3 linked regions of the Arabidopsis thaliana genome follow. The protein of the gene in region 1 purifies or fractionates together with the protein of each later gene. This does not show direct contact. Each region holds a gene or a part of one and is shown in the gene's direction. Other genes may lie near its edges.

Region 1 (6,816 bases):
TGATTTTAATTATTGTGATTTGTTCCTCTCTTTTCTTTCTTCAGCAGCCTTTTGTACTCTTGATGATGTGAATTGGAGTGTAATATAACACCCCTCAATGTTGTTAATATAAGTGTTTCAAAAATAGTCTACTTATATGATATAAACTAAAGTATATGGAGGAACAAATTCGAAGATGCTCGTTGTTATCATAAGCTTTAATACTTTATTGAGGAAGCATTTTATGTTGTAACGGCTAAACTATACTCAACAAGAAAAGGTAAATTCTAACGGAAACAATATAGCCTTTAATTCTGTTCAAAGTTATAGAGATGGGCCGTTACAGACTTTTATTCAAGAAGCCCATCTGCGCATACTCAACACTTTTTTAAAGAGTAACAAATTACACAAATTTACCAAGTTCCCAAGACCTAAATCATTGACTGAGTCAAGAATCATTTGCAATTTGCATGTTAGAATATTGTCAGAAGAATCATGAAATTTTCAAATTGCTTCACATGTTTTGTCCTTTGTTATTCACTTGAGGATTTTCTATGAAGTTCATATTTTTCTTCTGACACCCCGATGAACTGTTAGTAAAATGGCAATTGCTAAACGACTCCTATATCATTCTATCGCTATATATCTCATATTCCCCAATGTAAACGTTGATTGCATGTTGATCCACGTTTCACTCTTTGCCTAAACGTTTCAGAGACGTATGATGTGATGGATATTAAATCCATGAAATTCTTCAACTTAAACTAATTACTCTGCATTTAATCCATAAGTCAATAAAATGTATTTCCCGTTTCATTACAGTTTATTCGATTAAATTTTCAAATTAAAAAACATGAGCAAGTAATATACTTAATTATTATTTTACGAAGGATCAAACAAATACTAAAAACAGAAAAAGAAGATATGAAAATCACATCTTCGAAGAACCAGATCTTGTTGTAGAAATCCTTATCTTAGAGAGGATCCGACAAAACATATTCTTCTTCTTGTTGTTGTAATTATCGACGACAGCTTCGGTGTTTTGCTTTCTCTTCCACCATTTGGTTCCAAAAGCACCGCACAACAGTTTACCAGTCGTCGAATCAGAGGAACAACACAGATCAACGACGGTGTTGGCCCCACGATTGGCCTTTTCTTCCAGATCAGACGGTCTTCGAGAGCAGCAAACTTTTCCGGCGCCAGCAAGAGAAGGTAGAGACATGAAATGGCGTTCAATGATGTGAGTAAGAGAAACGAGCTCGTAGGAATCATAGAGTGGACTTCCACAATCCCATAGTATACGATCATCATCATCAACCATATTCTTCGTTTTCTCTGTGGTCTTTTTCATGAATGATGTTTTTGGAAAGTGGAAGTGTGTTTCTCGATGTAGATTTCTGACAGTGAGTGCGTGTCTTCTATTGAAAGTGTTTTAAGGTTTTTGTTTTCTTCCTCTAGTCTTTGTTTTTGGTCGAATGGACTTATAACAGTCAAGCTGGCGAGATTTGTTTATGTTTATTTGACGATTATTTACCTTTAATGGAGGTTTTTTTTTTTGTTGTTAATTACTCGTTAATGAATCCGGAAATTGGAGAATATAGATACACTACGAATTTGATAAAGGGAAATATGTGATTATCATTTTACCATTTTAGTTGGTTTAAAGAATGAACTCTTCCAATTTATCATTTTACCATAAAGGGAAATATGTAATTTAAATTTTTAATTTTATGTTGAATTTCAATTTAATCATAAATTTTCGTTGACTAAGTTGGTTAAGACATGTCGTTAGAAATTCTTCCAATAAAAAATCTTAGATCTTGAAAATAGATTTCCAATTTTTTTTTCTTTTTCTTCGGATTCTTGCTTCTTTTTTTAATTTAAAGTAATTTTTCGTCTCTAAGTCGACAGATAGCATCGAAAAAGAAGAATTTGTATCTCAATTAGCTTACTCAACGAGAATTCATGATTAAATTGAAAAACAACATAAAATTAAGGATTTAAATCACCATACCCAAAATTCATATTTTAAACTAACGAAAATGGTAAACTAATGATTTAAATGACATTTTTCCCATTTGATAATCAAAAAACTCTAAAAATTAATCTTAAAGTTAAAAGTTATTATTCCATCCTTTACATGCAAAATTCTTCCTTTTTAAGATTTATTGGGCTGAAGAAATACAAAACGGGCCTATAATTGGCCCAATATGAGTAAGCAGACGTTAGTTAGCTTAGCTGAGAGAGTGTGGCTTTAATTAGAGCATATGGTTTAGTGTTAATCTATGCAAAAATTTATCTTCTCCGTCCGCAAAAATTCTTTAAAGCATTGGATCGAGTTTTAAAAAGGTATCCGCGCCAGAGCTTAATTTAATCATTTTCATTTCTTCATCATTCATCATCTTCCTCACAGTCTCGAAACCCTAGTTTTGTACCCAATAACAACTTTCTGGGTTTAGAAATGCCTCGGGAGATAATTACGCTTCAGGTTGGACAATGTGGGAATCAGATCGGTATGGAGTTCTGGAAACAGCTTTGCCTCGAGCACGGTATCAGTAAAGATGGTATTCTCGAGGACTTCGCTACTCAGGTCCTTCTTCTTCTGAACCAACCAAGCCTCTCTTTATAATTAATTGTCTACTTGAATTTCTTAGGTCTTATTGATTCGAAATCGTTGTTTCTGGGTTTCTATTAATCGACAATTGAATACCCATTTGGGATTAGTGGATTAGTGGATTTTTGATGTTTTGATCTTGTTTGTGAAGGGAGGTGATAGAAAAGATGTGTTTTTTTACCAAGCGGATGACCAACACTATATCCCACGAGCTCTCCTCATTGATTTGGAGCCTAGAGTCATCAATGGTATTCAGAATGGTGATTACCGCAATCTCTATAATCACGAGAATATCTTCGTTGCTGACCATGGTGGTGGTGCTGGTAATAACTGGGCCAGTGGTTATCACCAGGGGAAGGGTGTTGAAGAGGAAATCATGGACATGATTGATCGAGAAGCTGATGGAAGTGACAGTCTTGAGGGTTTTGTTCTTTGCCACTCTATTGCTGGAGGCACTGGCTCAGGTAAATGATGAGGCTTTCTTCTTTTAGCATTCTCATGTTTTTTCACTGCTTCTTCTGATGTGAATGACTCCCTCCATCTCTCTCTCTCTTTCTTTCACATGAAGGTATGGGATCTTATTTGTTGGAGACTTTGAATGATCGCTACAGCAAGAAGTTGGTTCAGACATACAGTGTCTTTCCCAATCAGATGGAAACGAGTGACGTTGTTGTCCAGCCCTACAACTCACTTTTGACGCTTAAGCGGCTTACATTAAATGCTGATTGTGTTGTTGTCCTTGACAACACTGCTTTGGGAAGGATTGCTGTGGAGCGTCTACATCTGACAAATCCTACCTTTGCTCAAACGAATTCTCTAGTGTCTACTGTGATGTCTGCTAGCACAACAACACTGCGTTATCCAGGATACATGAATAACGACCTCGTTGGCTTGCTTGCATCTTTGATCCCAACACCAAGGTGTCACTTCCTCATGACTGGATATACACCATTGACTGTTGAGCGCCAGGTAAGATATCTCAACGAGTTTAATATCACAAAATAATTTTATGGGAAGCGATCATTGTATCTTGAACATAAATTCTACAGTGTGCAAATGGTTTTTTTGATTGATTTCCTGCTCTATTAACTGACTTGTTCTTGGCAGGCAAATGTCATTCGTAAAACTACTGTGCTGGATGTTATGAGAAGACTTCTACAGGTGAGCTGTTTGCCTTCTCCAATCTTTTTCCGAAACTTGAATCGGTTGTGCTTCTAACATGATTGTATTTGCAGACAAAAAATATCATGGTTTCGTCTTATGCTAGAAACAAAGAAGCTAGTCAGGCAAAGTATATATCAATATTGAATATAATTCAAGGAGAAGTCGATCCCACTCAGGTACTTTTACCTAGCTGTTTTTTGATCGGACACATTGAGGATGAATTGGTTATTCTTTCTTGCTGATGTAATCTGCTCTGTTATTTCGCTACTTGATACTAGGTGCATGAGAGTTTGCAGAGGATACGAGAAAGAAAGCTTGTTAATTTCATTGAGTGGGGACCTGCAAGCATACAGGTTCTAACCTAATTGTGTCTGCAAATTAGTTATTGCTTTTGGCTTCACCATGGACTTGAATCATAATTTTTTCCATATCTTACTCTCAACAGGTTGCTCTTTCCAAGAAGTCCCCATATGTTCAAACTGCCCATAGGGTAATCTTATATCACTCTATATCTATCTGTCATACTGAGAGTTGCCGCTCCTTACAGTTAATGTCTTAGGCTGCTAGTTCCTGCTTTAGAAGATTCAACAAAGACTCTTATTTTATGGTGTATTTGATATTTCAGGTCAGTGGTCTTATGTTAGCAAGCCACACTAGTATCAGGCACCTATTCAGCAAATGTTTGAGCCAATATGATAAGTTGAGGAAGAAGCAAGCTTTTCTAGACAATTACCGGAAGTTTCCCATGTTTGCTGTAAGTTGACTGCTCAAGTATAATGGCTTTGTTTGGCTGATGTTTAGTGCAACAAACCCAGCTTTGACAGTTACATGTTGATATGAACAGGACAATGATCTTTCAGAGTTTGACGAATCAAGGGACATAATTGAGAGTTTGGTAGATGAATACAAGGCCTGTGAGTCTCCAGATTACATCAAATGGGGAATGGAGGTATATAAGCTTTTCCCATCAATAATCTTACTTATGGATGAACTCGAAATGATAACTGTATCTGTGTCTGTCTCAGGACCCTGAACAGCTTATGACTGGTGAAGGCAATGCTTCAGGAGTTGTTGATCCGAAGTTGGCGTTCTGATTATTATATAAAAACAAAAACCAGAGTAAGTCGCATGAAGTTTCACTTTTAACTGAGATATTTCAGGTGATCATAGGATTACTTAAAAATGGGTTTTGGTAGGAGCAGTAGTAAGTGTTGGCACGTAAAACCTTGGAATAGTGGTATGATGTGGATGAGTTTTTTAGTCTGTTAGATGAATGTGTGTTTCCTGGGATTGAGAGCACACAAAGTTGCATCTCCTCACTCCTCAGGAGAAGGAATCTAGAATTGTAATATTTATGGGTGTTTTAGCTCATGTCTCTGTGATCGGAGTATCATGTTCTCCATGTGTGGTTAAAAGACTCGAAAACTCTAGAAAGCAAGAAGCATGTTGTGTTGATGAAGGAATTGGGTTTAATGGATTCTATTTTCTTTGTATATATGCTGTGATCTAAACTTTTACTAGTGCCGTGTTGATCATAGTAAATTCTATCGGTCAACTCTCCTTTGAGTTTCTTTTTGCATACGACGCCGTTCTGGAAGCAAATCAAACTTAACCAACAATATAAAATCATATTTATAAAAAAAAACCTTTGCAAGTTGAATTGAATTTACTTACTATATAAGAATTTAAATTTCGTGGACCTCATATTTTATAATATAATGGGATTAGGTAACAAATTACACTAATGATTTTCCAAGAAGTCGTTTTAGACGCGAGTATTTGTAAATTAGTAAGCAAATAATAAAAAGAGATGTTGACAAAACGATAAACAATCCGACATCAACTGCGATTTATTTGGCCTTATGATGAATAGATTTTACTTTTTAGATATCGAAAGTGTATGTTACTTTGTTTGTTAGCTAAGTCCTTATCTTTCTTCTTATTTTGAAACTAAGCATAATCTTACGAGTAAAAACCAAAATCTGACTAAAGACCTATAACAACACTTACTTACTAGCCGTTACATATGTTTCACTCAAAGCATAAATTTTTATAATAACAATTTGTTTTTATTCTCGTATCAATAATTTTTTTTAAAAAAAAGGGGAACAGCTTGGCGAATTATTCCATTTTTTTAATTTAAAAGTAAAGAACTGAAAAAGGGGGAATCTCAACATCATCACATCACATGGCCTCTTTCTTACTATTATGTAACTCAATTATTCCCTCTGCAATGTTTTTCTGGTCCCTAACTATAAACATCTTTTGTGATGTTTGGTACTAAATGATATTTTATTTATTTACAAATAGATAATTATGCTAGTAGTAGTACCATACTAGAATTTAAAGAAATATATGTGGAGGCTGGAGAGAGAATTACAATTTGGTTTTGCATAATTATGTAGAAAGGTTTAGAAAATATCTAGTAAGGTGAAGTTTTATTGTCAAAATATTAGTATGAGTTTTGGAACAAAAACTAGTTGATCTCTTGTGTAATTAAAGCGTGTTGTAGTAATAGTAATAGTAGCAAAAGAAAAGAGATTTCAAATGGGAGATGCACATATGGACACGGATTCGTACAAAGGTTAGAAGAAACACATGTTAAGGTTTCAAAGAATAAAATCCACCCCTGTTTAATGCTCCTATACACGAAAGAGCTCTCAACGCGTAATATCTGTCAAATTTTAATTCAGAGGACGTGTTAAATTAGCCATAACTTTAGTTTAAAGCTAAATTTGATAATAATTACAATAAATTCCAATTCCATTTGTTGAGGGAATAGAAAGAAATTAAACGAACCAACTAGGAACGGTCATTTAGCCAGAAAATGACACATGTCAGTTAACTCCTTTGAACAATTGACAGAAAAGTTCTAGAGTGGATTACCGGCTATACCCGGTAAACAGTCAATTACTATAAAAACGCGTTATAGCCATATATATGATCCAAAGGGGTTTTTGGTTGTCCGTGTCGTTCGTCGTCTCTCTCGCCGGACTTGTTCATTCAGATTTCGTCTCTCTCTCTCTCGTACTCTTCTTCAATTTTGTCCTCCGTAAAAT
Region 2 (6,752 bases), on another chromosome or scaffold:
AATAACATGATTAGTGAATCTTACATGCATTGTATGAGTTTTCCCACTGCTTGTCACTCCATATGCGAAAATGGTCCCTGTGGTTGAATTAACACTCAAAGTCACTACAATAAAATCAAATTGGCAAGAAAATCTAACTTAAAGTTGTTCTAGAGACTAGAACAAGCACTAGATAGAGTTTGGCAACTCAAAGATCTCATTTTCTAAATGAATGGTCATGCAACTGTTCATGGTACTGTAGCTCGGGTAAGCTTGATACTAAAAATATCTTTTTCTCTTCTAAGAATAAAGTCTTAACTAGAGAGGGCAATAATAAGTGTTTAGTCCATACCATTGACCCCCGCCATAGCACCATTAACGACATGCTGAGCAGCAACATCATAGACATTGCGTGTAGTCGTAGTAGGCCCGAAAACACGATCTGCAAGAAAGGACAACAGAAATTTCAAGAAAAAATATGGCAGATTGGACCTTGATATCTAGTTTAATTTAGGTCTTGATTCATGATGCATGAAACTTCAATCCATTCCACAGAACAAGATTTATGATGGTTACAGAAACTCATGAAGTCATGAACACTAGTCAAACTGTTAAGACTAACCATAGGCATAAGCTATTGATTGATTATTCTCATTCCGCACTATCGTTTCCCCATCTGCATACCATGCAATCTCCTCTCCTTTCCGGATTTCCCTTGGACTAAGTGAAGCATAAACCAATGTCAACAATCCACAGAACAAACATATAAAACTAAAGTGTTTGAATCCTACACAAAAGAAATCAACATATTCACCTGAGTGGACGAAAACGCACAGTGACAGTGACATTTTCTTTGGACTGCAAAGGCTTAGGTGGTAACTGAGGCTTGCTTCGAACCGATGAAGAAGTAGGGGAGCTATGGCTATCTACAGACGCCTCTTGATAAAGTTTTGAAGACGAGGTTGTTGAAGATGCAGAGGACTCAACAGTCTTTAACTTGCTAAATCCACCATTTCTAGTCTTTGATACTTGTTTAGATCCCATCACAAAACCAAATTCAAACTTCGAGTGACTGAAAAAATGAAGAAAGTACAAAACTTTATCAAGTACAGACTGAAACCAAGCTAACGGAATTATGCTCGACTGTGTAATGAGCTAAAGATTCCTTTTTTTTTGTCAAACTGAGCTAAAGATTCCAAATTGTCATAGAGCAACTTGCAAATTGACAGGAAAGCAATGAAATTGGGAGTTTACAAAGCTCAATCGGTAAGCGAGTGAGAGAATCACAATGAGAGGAATAAGAGAATTACGGAAATGCCACGAGCTTCGAACACTTGGGTTAGGTCGAAAATTGCAATAAAAGAGAAGAAGAGAGGCAAGTGGGTACTAACTCAATGTAGCATCACCGCCGCTAAAAGCCGAATCGCATGCAAAGGATTATGATGATGCAAGAGAGAGTGAGTGATTACGTAGAAGAAGAAGAAGAAGAGGAACTTAAAGAAGAGAAAAGCATAATCATCATTAAAAGAGTAATTAGTTAGATGATTGCGATTGTTGTGTAAAAGAGTGTTTACTTTTTAATAATAATCTCTCGCTTGCCTTTGAAGTTTGAAGTGATAATACCCGAGTTTCAATTGTTTATTCGTTCTTCTCTTAAACTGTAATCACCAAAACATCATTAAGAGATAAAGATAAGAGAAGAATCGTATACGTACACATGTACAATTGTACGTATTTGCCTTCACGGATTTTTCTATGTCATAAATAGCTATAAACTTCTAAACTTTTGTTGTTGAATCAATTATGATTAGATAAGGAAGTAAATTGGTGTGAAAAAGATAAAGATATGGAAATGATAGTAAAGTAGTGTATATATATAAATGGTGTGCAATCTGTAACAAACAGAATATAGAGAAATTAATTAGTGAAAAAAGTAGAAAGTGATTGTTACAGGGAATATTTTTCCACATACGTAAAAATAGGTCTAATATTTTTACTTTTTAATTCCGATCTTGTACTTTTCTTTTTACAATTGATTAAAGTGGAAATAAGCTTCCTTTATTTTCATCTTCATTGATGAAAATAATGAGTAGAGAAACATTTTACTACCTAAAATGAGTAGAGAAATCATTCCTCTATTCAGAGAACAAATGTCTAAAATGAACTGTTTTTATTATTTTGCTCAATAAATACATAAATTTGGTAGATAAAACCAAATAATCTTTTTTAAATGCTAGTTAATTTTTTAAAAAAGTATACATTTTTATTGGTACCTTTTATTGTGAATTAAATATTATGAGGTTTTTTCATATTTATATATTTCTTTATTAATTTTAAAATGGAAAATTCTCAAAATTCCATTAAACAAAAAAATTCTACGTAACATATCAATTAACTTGTGAACTTTTTTTTAATTCAAACATTATTTTTCTCCGTTGTTTCAAATAATATATTTGAAATAAAACTTATAACAAAAAAAATGAGAAGATATTTTGCATAATGTTTTTTTATTCCAATGTTTTTGGATTTCAACATATGTATTCAATTGCCCGCCGAGGAAAAATAATTACATAGCTCTAAAGTCCAAAAGAAGCCCAATCTTTTTTTATTCGTTCACTCACTACTCTCTTCACTCGCCCAAACTCTGCAAAACCTCTTTCGATTTCAAAAATCAAATTCACCAAAAAAACTTCGAAGAACAAAAAAAATCCAAAAAAAGGTGAAATCGAAGAAGAAGAAAAAAAAGGCAAAAGCTTGAATTGATTATGGAAGACGACGATCAGCAGAAGGCTGCAGATCTAGTACAAGAGCTTGTTCTTCGTCTCGTCTCACAAAACCCTCAAACCCCTAATCTCGATCCCAATTCTCCCGCCTTCCTCAAAACCCTTCGTTACGCTTTTCGTATCCTCTCTAGTCGTCTTACTCCTTCCGTCCTCCCTGACGCCACCGCTATCGCTGAGTCTCTCAAACGCCGTCTCGCTACTCAGGGTAAGTCCTCCGACGCACTCGCTTTTGCCGATCTCTACACTAAGTTCGCTTCCAAAACTGGACCTGGCAGTGTCAATAACAAATGGGCTCTTGTTTATTTGCTTAAAATTGTTTCTGACGATCGTAAATCGGCTATAAATGGTCTTGATTCCTCGGTTTTGTTACCTAATTTGGGGATTGGTGATACTGGTAATGGGGTTTTGAGCCGTGGAGAGGCTAAGAAGAAGGATTGGAGTAATGGGGTTTTGTTGGTTAGTAAAGATCCTGAGAATTTGAGGGATATTGCGTTTAGAGAGTATGCCATTTTGGTTAAGGAAGAGAATGAAGTGACGGAGGAGGTTCTAGTGAGGGATGTTTTGTATGCTAGCCAAGGAATTGATGGGAAATATGTCAAATTTAACAGTGAAATCGACGGTTATGCCGTGCAGGAGTCTGTTAAGGTGCCTCGAGCTACGAGGATTATGGTTCGTATGCTCTCTGAGCTTGGTTGGTTGTTTAGAAAGGTTAAGACTTTTATAACTGAGAGTATGGATCGGTTTCCAGCTGAGGATGTGGGAACTGTTGGGCAAGCGTTTTGTGCGGCGTTGCAAGATGAGCTTTCTGATTATTATAAGTTGTTAGCTGTGCTAGAAGCGCAGGCCATGAATCCTATTCCTTTGGTTTCTGAATCAGCAAGCTCAAACAATTACCTTTCTTTGAGGAGGTTGTCGGTATGGTTTGCGGAGCCTATGGTGAAAATGAGACTGATGGCTGTTTTGGTTGACAAGTGTAAGGTTTTGAGAGGTGGGGCGATGGCTGGGGCTATCCATTTGCACGCACAGCATGGTGATCCGCTTGTTCATGATTTTATGATGAGTTTGCTTCGATGTGTGTGTTCTCCGCTATTTGAAATGGTGAGAAGTTGGGTTCTAGAAGGGGAGTTGGAAGATACTTTTGGTGAATTCTTTGTCGTAGGTCAGCCGGTTAAAGTCGATTTGCTTTGGAGAGAAGGCTATAAGCTCCACCCAGCAATGCTTCCATCTTTTATTTCACCAAGTCTAGCTCAGAGAATTCTGAGAACTGGGAAATCTATAAACTTTCTTCGTGTTTGCTGTGATGACCACGGGTGGGCTGATGCAGCTTCAGAAGCAGCAGCTGCCTCTGGGACAACAACTAGGCGAGGAGGTCTCGGGTATGGTGAAACAGATGCACTTGAACATCTTGTAACCGAGGCAGCAAAGAGAATCGACAAGCATCTGTTGGATGTTCTATATAAGAGATATAAATTTAAGGAGCATTGTCTTGCGATTAAGCGTTATTTACTACTTGGTCAAGGTGATTTTGTCCAGTACTTGATGGATATTGTAGGACCCAAGCTTTCTGAGCCAGCCAATAATATTAGTTCATTTGAGCTAGCTGGGTTTCTTGAGGCTGCAATACGAGCATCAAATGCACAGTATGATGACCGTGACATGCTAGACAGATTGAGAGTGAAGATGATGCCTCATGGCAGTGGAGACAGAGGCTGGGATGTATTCTCATTGGAATACGAGGCAAGGGTTCCATTAGATACCGTGTTTACTGAGTCTGTTTTGTCTAAATACCTGAGAGTGTTCAATTTTCTCTGGAAGTTGAAACGGGTAGAGCATGCTCTTATCGGAATTTGGAAGACCATGAAACCAAATTGCATCACTTCGAACTCATTTGTTAAGCTTCAAAGTTCGGTGAAGTTGCAATTACTCTCAGCCCTGAGGCGGTGCCAGGTCCTTTGGAATGAAATGAACCATTTTGTTACTAACTTTCAGTATTACATCATGTTTGAGGTATTGGAGGTATCATGGTCTAATTTCTCAAAAGAGATGGAAGCTGCTAAAGACCTCGATGATCTCTTGGCAGCGCATGAGAAGTACCTCAACGCCATTGTTGGAAAATCTCTTCTGGGTGAACAGTCACAGACCATCCGCGAATCACTTTTCGTCCTGTTTGAGCTTATATTACGGTTCAGGAGTCATGCAGATCGTTTGTATGAAGGAATTCACGAGTTGCAAATAAGGTGTGTTTTGTCTTTTATATTCAAACAAAAGTAGACCTTAAACTATTGCTCAAACATTTTCCTCTGATTTTAGGGTCACAATTTGATCTCTAATATCACCGATTTCCTGCAGATCTAAAGAATCAGGACGAGAAAAAAACAAATCGCAAGAGCCCGGTTCATGGATCAGTGAGGGTAGGAAGGGCTTAACACAGCGTGCTGGAGAATTTCTACAAAGCATGAGTCAAGATATGGACAGTATTGCAAAGGAATACACATCGTCACTTGATGGATTCCTATCTCTCTTGCCTCTGCAACAATCTGTAGATCTCAAGTTTCTCTTTTTCCGGCTTGACTTCACTGAGTTCTACAGCCGATTGCATTCCAAAGGATAAGAAAGTTGAAAGAGTATCAGGTTTAGTTGAAAAGCATATTGCACAATCGCAAGAGAAGAAGACATTATCTACGTCTTTCACTAACCGCTGACTGCAGCATGGGCTCTCCTGAACCAGGGATGCAGAGGTTCTTTTCTTAAAATCTAGGTGCGTGGGAGAATCTGTTTCTTATTTAGAGACTGCCTCATAGATTTTCTGTCTTTTGCATAGATTGTTTTTTCAATGGCTTGTTTCAAAGTTTAGGATTGGGAAACAGATTCTTTGTGTTGGTAAATTGGGGAAGGTTTGTGTTTGAGTTTGTGCTATAAGTCTGATGATCTCCAGCTTTAGTTTTTTTTCTTCTTCTGTGGTTCACTGATTTGTATGATTTGTTTTATGACTTGGTTGATATAAGAAGGAATCAGTTGCTTCTTCATAATGTGTATCTCCATAGTGTAAAAGGCTCCAAACTCTGAATTTTTCACTATCTAGAAGCTTCTGTAGCCACGGCCTGAGATTGAGCACAAGCATTAGCTCACAGTGATTTTAATCCGCAAGCCTTTCTCTTGCAATTAAGAAGAACCTTTGTGATACTCTTCCTCTCATCCACATTGATCTATCTCTGTGTGAATGAAGCATATGAACAACAAAAAACAAGTAGCTTTTGGCAAGAGTTACAGTCTCAAAATCTAAAGCAATCGTGTCCAATTTAAAAGAAAAAACAATTCACGGTTGTCGATTAATTTGCAAGTGCAGGCCAAACTGGAGGTTAACATATAAGGAAAAAAAAAAGGTGAAAAAATTCGTCGCCTGAGAGATTCGAACTCTCGCGGGGAAACCCCATTTACTTAGCAGGCAAACGCCTTAACCACTCGGCCAAAGCGACGATGATGCTCAATTAATGAATTGATTAATTTAATCGTTAATTGAAATTATTAGTATAAAATAGAAATCAAAATGTGAAATTTCTTCCAAAACATTAGCTTTTCATTCACTCGTAGAACTTGTAATAGAGTAGCTCATTTACTTGCCAAACATGGTTGTCTTCAATGTAACTACTACTCTGATTATGCTTGTCCTCCTAATTGAATGGTTGAACAATTGTACCTTGACTTTAGCCATTCTTAATTAACAAAGCTCAATCTCGACGAAAAGAAAAAAAAATGTGAAATTTCTTGATTATCAAAAAAAGGAGTTTTTAAGTTTGAAATTGTATAAAGAAAGAAAATAAGAAAACTGACTGTACATATTAATTTTTTTTAAAAGAAAAAAAAAAGGTAGGAAATGAAAAAAAAGAGAGAACTAGACAAATTTGTTGATCAATTCTCTAACTTCTTCGATGACAAGCCATCCTTTGTGACCTCCAATCACCTCCTCTTTCATCTCATCTTCCTTCCATA
Region 3 (8,346 bases), 3.1 Mb from region 1:
GAAAAGCAGGCCACTCTTTACAAATGATATATATAATACGATGTTGGAAAATAATTTATGTGTATATAGCTACGATAAAGTTTTAGATCACAGTTTGTTTTGACCCGTCTAAAGAGCCTGCGTAAGAAAATTATATTTTACTTTACCAAGAAAACTTTGAATTGAGTTTTGGTTCTAGACAGCTGTCCCAACCTATACGATGAAAACAAATCCAAAATATACAGACACAATATGTGATAATATTTTCTAATACATGTGAAAAATAGACCATAACATTTAGACTAGTGATGGCTTTTATTACTTACATTGACTGGAATCATTACGTTTTCTCCCCAATGCTGATTTGGTTATTTCAGAACCGACCCAAATTCTCATTAGTAATGGCCATGCCTCTCTTGGGATCTTGCTAACCAACGCTCCAAACACCTGAACAAACACTTAAACTTACAAGCATGTGTCTCCATTTTATCTTGAAGTTTAGAGTAAAAATAACAGTTTATAACAAAAAGGTTACCTCAAGTGATTCTCTTAGTTGGAACAATTCACAACTTCTAAATTCCTTCTGCATTAGATTTGCTCATTCACAAACTAAAGCATCACTCCGTAAGCCTCTTCTTGCCTATATCTTAAAACCCAGTAAAGGAAGAATAGTTCAGAAACAAATTCAACCACCAAATAGAGCTGCAATACTCAAGATATATCTCTTATCTCAGTTATTATATTTCTTAGAGGATATCTAAATTCTCACCAGAGGAAATCATTTGTTTCTCGAGTTCCTGGACTGCATCGAATATCCCATGAGCAGTATAGGTTTTGATCATAGTAGCAAAAGTGATTTTATCAGGCTTACATTTTCTCTCTTCCATTTGTATGTATAATTCTTTCATTGTAGCCAAATCACCAGCCTGACCATATGCATTGATTATGCAATTGAAGAACGGTGTATCCAGTACCACATCTGAATTCACAATTTGCCTCAAAACCGAATCTATCTTAACGACAAGACCTGCTTTGCTATACGCGTTAACAAGCGAACAATAAGTGATTGAGTTTGGTTTCACTCCTTGATACTTCATTTTCCTGAATACATCATCCATTTTCTCAATTCTTCCAGCTTTTCCAAACGTCTCAATCACTATATTGTAAGTGACAGTCGTCAGGGAGAAGAACCTTTTCTCCATAAAATCCATAACAGAGCACATCTTCTTATACATACCAGCTTTTCCAAATGACAGGATCAGTATGTTAAATGTAGTGATATCCGGTTGCACCCCCATCAGCTGGAACCGACTATACCAGCTCTCCATCTTCCTCATGTTGCGACCATTTCCATATGACCCAATGATCGAGTTAAGCGTACAAACATCCGGAAGAGAATCTCCGTCCTCGATCATATCAGCCAGAACACTTTCCATTTCCTCAAACATTCCAGCCTTTCCATACCCATCAATAATAGTATTGTAAGTAACCGTGCTGCATCCAACTCCAAGATACGACATCTCAAGAACGATACTTTTAACCAGATCAAACCGACCCAGTTTGCAGCAACAACTGATGAGAACAGTAAAGGTGAACACATCTGGCTTGCAGTCACTAACAGATTTCATATACTCAAGTGTAGAAAACGCCTTGTCTAGAAGCTCGCTTTTGCCATAAACAGAGATAAGAGAGGTATACACATCAATGGTTGGTTTCAATCCTTCAGATAACATAACTTCGAAAAGCAAGCTGGCTTGATCAGGCTGTTTACAATTCCCAAGCACTTTAAACAGCTTTGTATAAGTTTTGCATCTTGGTTCATACCAATGCTGCTTCCTAAGAAGATTGAAAATCTATAAAGTAGAGAAACAGGAAAGTGAATTCTATCGAATCTATGTCCAAGTATCTGTAAGAATGAAGAAGGATTAAAGAGCTGTACCTTGAGAGCAGACTGCCATCGATTCTCTTTGATAGCTTCGTCAAGAGCTTCTAGAACAGCTTTTGGCCATAAAGTTAAGTACTTTTCGGAATTGGCTTTCCTCTCAATGCCCTTCACAGCAGCATCTGTTCTCAGAATCCGAGACAATTCTTTCTTAGGATCTACTTGGTGTCTTGTTGAGATCAAACCAGAATTCATTTTCTCTGTACGTTCGTTGGGGACCTTTGTCGAACACATTGTGGGCGTTATTGAAATAGTTGGTATACACCGAAAATAAACAGGGGAAGATATATGTTGCTGAACCACGCTTCTGCAAGAATGAGAAACAGAGAAAGATAGATTTAATATAAACACAACTGAAGAATTAAAGAAACGTAAAATTCAAAACAGTATGATTGTATGAAATATGAGAATGTTACCGAGAAAAACCAAGTTGTGCGATCTCATTGGCGTACGCGGAAGTAGTTCCTTGAACAGGATTTTGTATCAATGCCATCGAAGAAAAATGGTAGAAAGATAAGGTGGAGAAAAAGAAACTGCAAATTTTCTGGGTAGAAAGCAGAGCTAGAAGACGACGACGATACCGTTGTTTTTCCTTCGTTTTTTTCTTCTTCTCCGGTTTGGTGTAGCTTCTCTTCGGTTTGTAAAATATAATGAAATGGTTTTAGTTTTGATTTGGATGCCGGTTTAATTTGGATTTACAAAATTAAAAATTTAGCATTAATCAGTTTTTTCTTGTCCGGTTTAAAGGATTGGATTGATGAAGGAAGAACCAAATGGAGCTTTTTCCAATTTAATTTTGAATTCGAATTTGTTAAAACGAGATTGTCCTTGGCAAGGAACCGGAATTTGGAAAATGAAAAACCAAGAACACAGTTGAAAGTTATCCACACTAGTTAGGACACGTGGAGGCTAATGTATTTCACGTGGACACGTGCTCATCACTCTCCTCTAAACGCCGTCGTGAAGTTTAAAGGTCAGAGACATCGGCCACCGACCAAATCAGACAAGGAAAAGTCAACGATTTGATTGGATCTTCTTCACTTATGCTTTAAAACCGTTCCTGTAATAAACTGTGAAGATTGTAAGAAGATTAACACGAATCAAGAACATCGAACTGTTGACTTTAGACAGAGAGAGACGGAGATGGAGTTTAGTGAGTTAAAGGAAGCAATAGAGAAGATAGAGCTCGTTGATGCTCACGCACACAACATTGTCTCTCTTGACTCATCTTTTCCGTTCATCGGAACTTTCTCCGAGGCTGCCGGCGACGCTTTAACCTTCGCTCCTCATTCTCTCTCCTTCAAGGTACACGACGATACCAAGTGTTTTTGCTCTAGTTAGTTTTCGTTTGAATCAGATTCTAATTAATGAAAACGTTAGCTTAAAGTTTCCTAATTAGTCTCAAAAGTATTAGTTAACTAAAGTTTCGAGTGTTACTCAAAAGATGTTGACTTGTTTAGGAATCTCGTGAAGTTGGTATGAATGTTTTTGGTTGTATGAATGAAACAGAGGAACTTGAGGGAGATTGCTCAACTTTATGGCACTGAAGTATCTTTAGAAGCGGTTGAGGAACATCGTAAAACCTCGGGTTTGGATTCTTTTACTTCCAAGTGTTTTAAAGAAGCTCGAATCTCTGCTCTCCTCATTGATGATGGATTAAAGCTAGACAAGAAACATGATATTGAATGGCATAGAAACTTTGTTCCATTCGTTGGTAGAGTGTTGCGTATCGAAACTCTTGCCGAGCAAATCCTCGAAGAGGAGTGTCCTGGTGGTTATTTCTATGGTTCTGAGAGTACTGAACCGCCTGTTTGGGATTTAGATTCTTTCACCAAAACCTTTGTTGAAAGATTAAATTCATATCCTTTTATCTTTGCTTTTTTAATACACGCTTAATGATTGTGACTATACTCACTAGTATTGGTTAACCTTGACTACTTCGGTCACGCTTGTTCCAGAGATTGTTGCTTTGAAAACTATTGCTGCATATCGTAGCGGTTTGGATATTGATACTTATGTGAGTAAAGAAGTTGCTGAGAATGGCCTTGTTGAAGTCTTGCGAGGTAAGATGGTTGTGCTTGGTCTATCAAGAAGTAACATAGTTGTTGTCTGATCACCTTAAAATCTAATATTGCTGCAGCTGGAAAGCCTGTCCGCATAGGAAACAAGGGCTTGATTGACTACATCCTTACCATTAGTTTGGAGGTCGCTGTGCGTCGCGACTTGCCCTTGCAGATTCACACCGGGTATGCAAGATTTGATCAACTATATGATTGATGTTAGTAAAGTCTGATCTTTTTATCAAACAAACCTTACACAGAAACAGAAACTCATGCTCAGAGGTTTGTAGTAATGAAAATTCTCCTTTTCTTTTGTTGTTTGAGCCAGTTTTGGTGACAAGGATTTGGATTTGAGGTTGTCGAATCCTCTTCACCTTAGAACCCTTCTTGAAGACAAAAGATTTGGAAAGTGTCGTATAGTTCTTCTTCATGCAGCTTATCCATTCTCAAAGGAAGCATCCTTTCTGTCTTCAGTTTATCCTCAGGTTTTTCGTCATCCCATTTCAATTATCTGTAAAATCATGCCTAGTCATTAACTTATTTTCTTGTTCCTTAAGGTTTACCTTGATTTCGGCTTGGCGGTTCCAAAGCTTAGTGTCCATGGTATGGTTTCTTCAGTTAAAGAGCTCCTTGACTTAGCATCAATAAAGAAGGTAAAATTTATTTTACTTGCATTATCTTTGTTATTGTTCATGAGTAACCATAAGATATTATTGCAGGTTATGTTCAGCACTGATGGGTATGCATCTCCTGAGACCTACTATTTAGGTTAGCTCAAGTTTCTACCTCTTTTCTATAGTTTGTAACATACTTATATATGTTCCAATCCTGTTTCTAAGCTTTGGCACTTGAAATCGTCTTGCTTCAGTCTTGAACATAGCTCGCTGTTTTTTGCAGGTGCAAAGAAAGCACGTGAGGTTATCTTCTTAGTTCTGAGTGATGCTTGTGCCAGTGGTGATCTCTCACTCATGGAAGCTATTGATGCAGCTAAAGACATATTCTCACGAAATTCTATTGGATTTTATAAGCTTAATATAGACACAGATTCTTCTAGTCCACAAAATATAATATCTCCCAAATTGAAGATAAAGGAGCCTGATGTTCAAGAAGATAGTAGTTCTTTTGTACGCATTATTTGGGTTGATACATCTGGACAACAAAGATGCCGTGTGAGTTTTTTTTTTTTGGTTTCTTCTAAAGAAAAAACCTCTGTTTCCCACCTCAACGATTTTTCCTTAGAAGCACAAAAACTTAACTAGAATTCTGTTTATTGTATTGTTTCAGGCTGTTCAAGCGCAGCGTTTTAACAGAAGTGTGAAGAAGAACGGCGTTGGTCTGACCTTTGCATCAATGGGGATGACTTCATTTACTGATGGACCAGCAGAAGAGTCTAAATTGACAGGTGTGGGTGAGATTAGACTTGTTCCAGATCTATCAACCAAGCAGACAATACCTTGGTACTTTACTCGTGTTCATTCTCTTTGGAGTTAATTTTACAGATGTTTCTTTCTTAATTGTTTCCGTATCATATTTTATCATTAGGACGAAGCAAGAGAGCATGGTTTTAGCTGATATGCAATTGAAGCCTGGTGAAGCATGGGGGTACTGTCCACGAGAGACCTTAAGAAGGGTCGCAAAAGTTCTCAAAGATGAATTTGACTTGGTAAGAAATCTCCATATAGCCATTCTACGAAAACTTTTATTTGCTTTTTGGTTGCTTAAGCTCAAATCTTCCTTGGCTTTTAGGTAATGAACGCTGGTTTTGAGAATGAGTTTTATCTCCTCAAGAACGTTGTGCGGTATGCGACTATATATTTCTTGAATACCGGTTTCTTTGTTCAATCCAATCATTTTCACAATCTTAACACTTGTTCTGTCCATTTTTTAAAAGGGAAGGGAAAGAAGAGTATATGCCTTTTGACTTTGGTCCTTACTGTGCCACATCCTCATTCGATGCTGCATCTCCGATCTTCCATGATATTGTACCCGCACTCGAGTCCTTGAACATCGAAGTTGAACAGGTTACAAATAATTCAAAAATCCCTCATAATGATCAGTCTGCAACATGCTTCTTGACATGTATGAAATTTTTTCATAGTTTCATGCTGAATCCGGGAAAGGTCAGTTTGAAGTATCTCTCGGTCACACCATTGCATCCCATGCTGCCGACAACTTGGTCTACACACGTGAAGTTATAAGATCGGTTGCAAGGAAACAGGGATTGCTCGCAACCTTTGTTCCAAAGTATGTCAGTCTCTCCCACCAAATTATTCGTTGTAACTGCAAATTTTTAACATATGTGTTTTTTCTTCAGGTATGATTATTGTGACATTGGTTCTGGATCACATGTGCATCTAAGTCTTTGGAAAAACGGCGAAAATGTCTTCCCGGCATCTAATAACTCATCTTCTCATGGAATCTCTTCCGTTGGAGAAGAGTTCATGGCCGGAGTTCTATTTCATCTTCCATCAATCTTAGCTATTATAGCTCCACTCCCAAACAGGTAACTCGAAAACCGTACTTTTCGAGTAATTTCCTCAATTGTTATTAAAAGTTGTGTGTGTCACTTAAATTTCCAGCTACGACCGAATCCAACCTAATACATGGAGTGGAGCATTCCAATGTTGGGGCAAAGAAAACCGCGAAGCAGCGTTAAGAGCAGCTTCTCCACCAGGAACTCCTGATGGTTTAGTTACTAACTTTGAGATAAAGTCTTTTGATGGCTCTGCAAATCCTCACCTTGGTTTGGCTGTTATAATGGCTGCTGGTATTGATGGTCTCCGGCGACATCTTCAACTTCCTACTCCAATAGGTAACTAAAAACTTATGTTATTCATTCTCATGTATATGTAGTGTTAATATGAAGCTTGATCTTGAGTTGTTCGGATGGAACAGATATAAATCCGGCGGATGTGGCTGCTACATTGAACAGACTTCCGGAAACGCTCTCAGAAGCTGTTGAAGCTCTGGACAAAGACAAAGTTCTCCACGATTTGCTCGGACAAAAGCTTTTAGTTGCCATAAAAGGAGTCCGTAAGGTAACACTATAGTCTTTTAGTTTCCCATTAGATTCTCAGTGGTAACAAAGTACATTAGCACTAATCTATTGTTTTTGTCTTTTTAAATTTTTTTGTGTAACAGGCTGAGGTCGAGTATTATTCGAAGAATCCGGATGCATATAAGCAACTCATTCACCGATACTAATCCTTTGAGCATCTCTATGATGATTGTTGGATCATTTGGTTTTATTGTGGACTTTGTGTCACATGAAGGGTCGTATTTGCAAAATACTTGACATAAAGATGTGGTTCAGAAAATTAATAAACTAAATTTCATATTTCGAGACGCATGCTCATGCTGGAGTACTATTTGTATTTCTTACTTTTTCGTCCCATGCTTTCAAAAGCCTCAAGAATATACAGAGTATTTTCAATAATACGGAGTAGTTCTTAATCATTTACATTTGTCTATGAATTGAATTTGACTACTAATACTCGGAAACAAAAAAATGATTGTAGTATTAGGAGCGCAAATACCCTTTAACCATTGTTCTTTCCATGTTCTTAGTCCGGCTATTGTTATCTAGGTAGGTGCCTGATCCCTTTTTTTCAAATCTTTCTTATTCATTACTTTGACTAATTAACCTATTTAATCATATTTAATCTCCCTTTAATCTGCAAACTAAAGCACATGTTTTTTTTTATGAAAGAAAAGGTTAGTATGACATTCTTTTGGTAAATCTCATCATATTATTTATTTAATTTTAAGAAATTGGAGTTTAAAGTGTAATTAAGTTATGCTACCTAGCTAATTTCCTTAAAATATGAACGATAAGTATAGAAATTAAAGTAAAGATTAGGTTTATACGGTACGCTTATTATGCTCAAACAAGTGGACGAACAAAATCCATCTCCATGTGACTATGGAAGAGAACTTATTAATAAGTCCAAATTTTTTTCTTGCAAACTTTATGATTTCATTCACACTAGACAAATTAATTGTTCGTAAGAAGGTATACGTACAACATAATGAGCTTTTACTGCTTCCCTTTGCAAACGAATCAGCTAAAACTTTACAGATTTATATGTTCAAGGGAAACTATAACTAAGATTTGAAGGAAAAATCTAACCTTTCTACTACAACAATAAAAGTCAATGCAAGGTCCTTTGAAAAGAATCTTGTTGTCGCATGCATGTACGTAATTTTGTAGTCAAATGTACGAATGATAGATATATGGGGTCAAAACGTTAAAATCCAGCCTAAGAAAGACAGAGATTTACTCTAAATCTTCCAAACCAACGTTATCAATTTTGTTGTTAACATTCAATTGACTTTGCTGTTAATTTTGGATTGTAGAATCGAATT

The links. Proteins that work in one complex are often made in the same cells at the same time.
Region 2: the proteins of TUBG1 (region 1) and SPC98 purify together in Arabidopsis thaliana (affinity purification with western blotting, with the first as the bait; one study listed by BioGRID). This does not show direct contact.
Region 3: the proteins of TUBG1 (region 1) and NodGS purify together in Arabidopsis thaliana (affinity purification with western blotting; one study listed by BioGRID). This does not show direct contact.

What each region holds. Positions count from the first base shown.
Region 1 is NC_003074.8:22,810,636-22,817,451, reverse strand, and holds TUBG1 (gamma-tubulin), read left to right. Parts: upstream 1-2,235; 5' UTR 2,236-2,440; coding exon 2,441-2,569; intron 2,570-2,744; coding exon 2,745-3,057; intron 3,058-3,161; coding exon 3,162-3,562; intron 3,563-3,700; coding exon 3,701-3,754; intron 3,755-3,828; coding exon 3,829-3,933; intron 3,934-4,035; coding exon 4,036-4,110; intron 4,111-4,202; coding exon 4,203-4,247; intron 4,248-4,382; coding exon 4,383-4,511; intron 4,512-4,601; coding exon 4,602-4,706; intron 4,707-4,782; coding exon 4,783-4,851; 3' UTR 4,852-5,370; downstream 5,371-6,816. Other genes in the region: AT3G61660 (uncharacterized protein), read right to left, coding at 911-1,330. UniProt on the Arabidopsis thaliana protein: Tubulin is the major constituent of microtubules. The gamma chain is found at microtubule organizing centers (MTOC) such as the spindle poles, suggesting that it is involved in the minus-end nucleation of microtubule assembly.
Region 2 is NC_003076.8:2,053,997-2,060,748, forward strand, and holds SPC98 (spindle pole body component 98), read left to right. Parts: upstream 1-2,531; 5' UTR 2,532-2,744; coding exon 2,745-4,999; intron 5,000-5,111; coding exon 5,112-5,373; 3' UTR 5,374-5,863; downstream 5,864-6,752. Other genes in the region: AT5G06670 (P-loop containing nucleoside triphosphate hydrolases superfamily protein), read right to left, coding at 25-104, 332-421, 602-699, 794-1,023. UniProt on the Arabidopsis thaliana protein: Gamma-tubulin complex is necessary for microtubule nucleation at the microtubule organizing centers (MTOCs). Required for the positioning of the gamma-tubulin-containing complex on pre-existing microtubules and for the proper organization of cortical arrays.
Region 3 is NC_003074.8:19,704,004-19,712,349, forward strand, and holds NodGS (nodulin/glutamine synthase-like protein), read left to right. Parts: upstream 1-2,816; 5' UTR 2,817-3,064; coding exon 3,065-3,226; intron 3,227-3,430; coding exon 3,431-3,780; intron 3,781-3,868; coding exon 3,869-3,984; intron 3,985-4,061; coding exon 4,062-4,167; intron 4,168-4,309; coding exon 4,310-4,466; intron 4,467-4,538; coding exon 4,539-4,634; intron 4,635-4,700; coding exon 4,701-4,749; intron 4,750-4,878; coding exon 4,879-5,150; intron 5,151-5,265; coding exon 5,266-5,438; intron 5,439-5,523; coding exon 5,524-5,644; intron 5,645-5,727; coding exon 5,728-5,780; intron 5,781-5,872; coding exon 5,873-6,002; intron 6,003-6,079; coding exon 6,080-6,225; intron 6,226-6,295; coding exon 6,296-6,484; intron 6,485-6,560; coding exon 6,561-6,793; intron 6,794-6,876; coding exon 6,877-7,019; intron 7,020-7,122; coding exon 7,123-7,185; 3' UTR 7,186-7,457; downstream 7,458-8,346. Other genes in the region: AT3G53170 (LOW protein: PPR containing protein), read right to left, coding at 597-625, 749-1,832, 1,919-2,228, 2,338-2,414.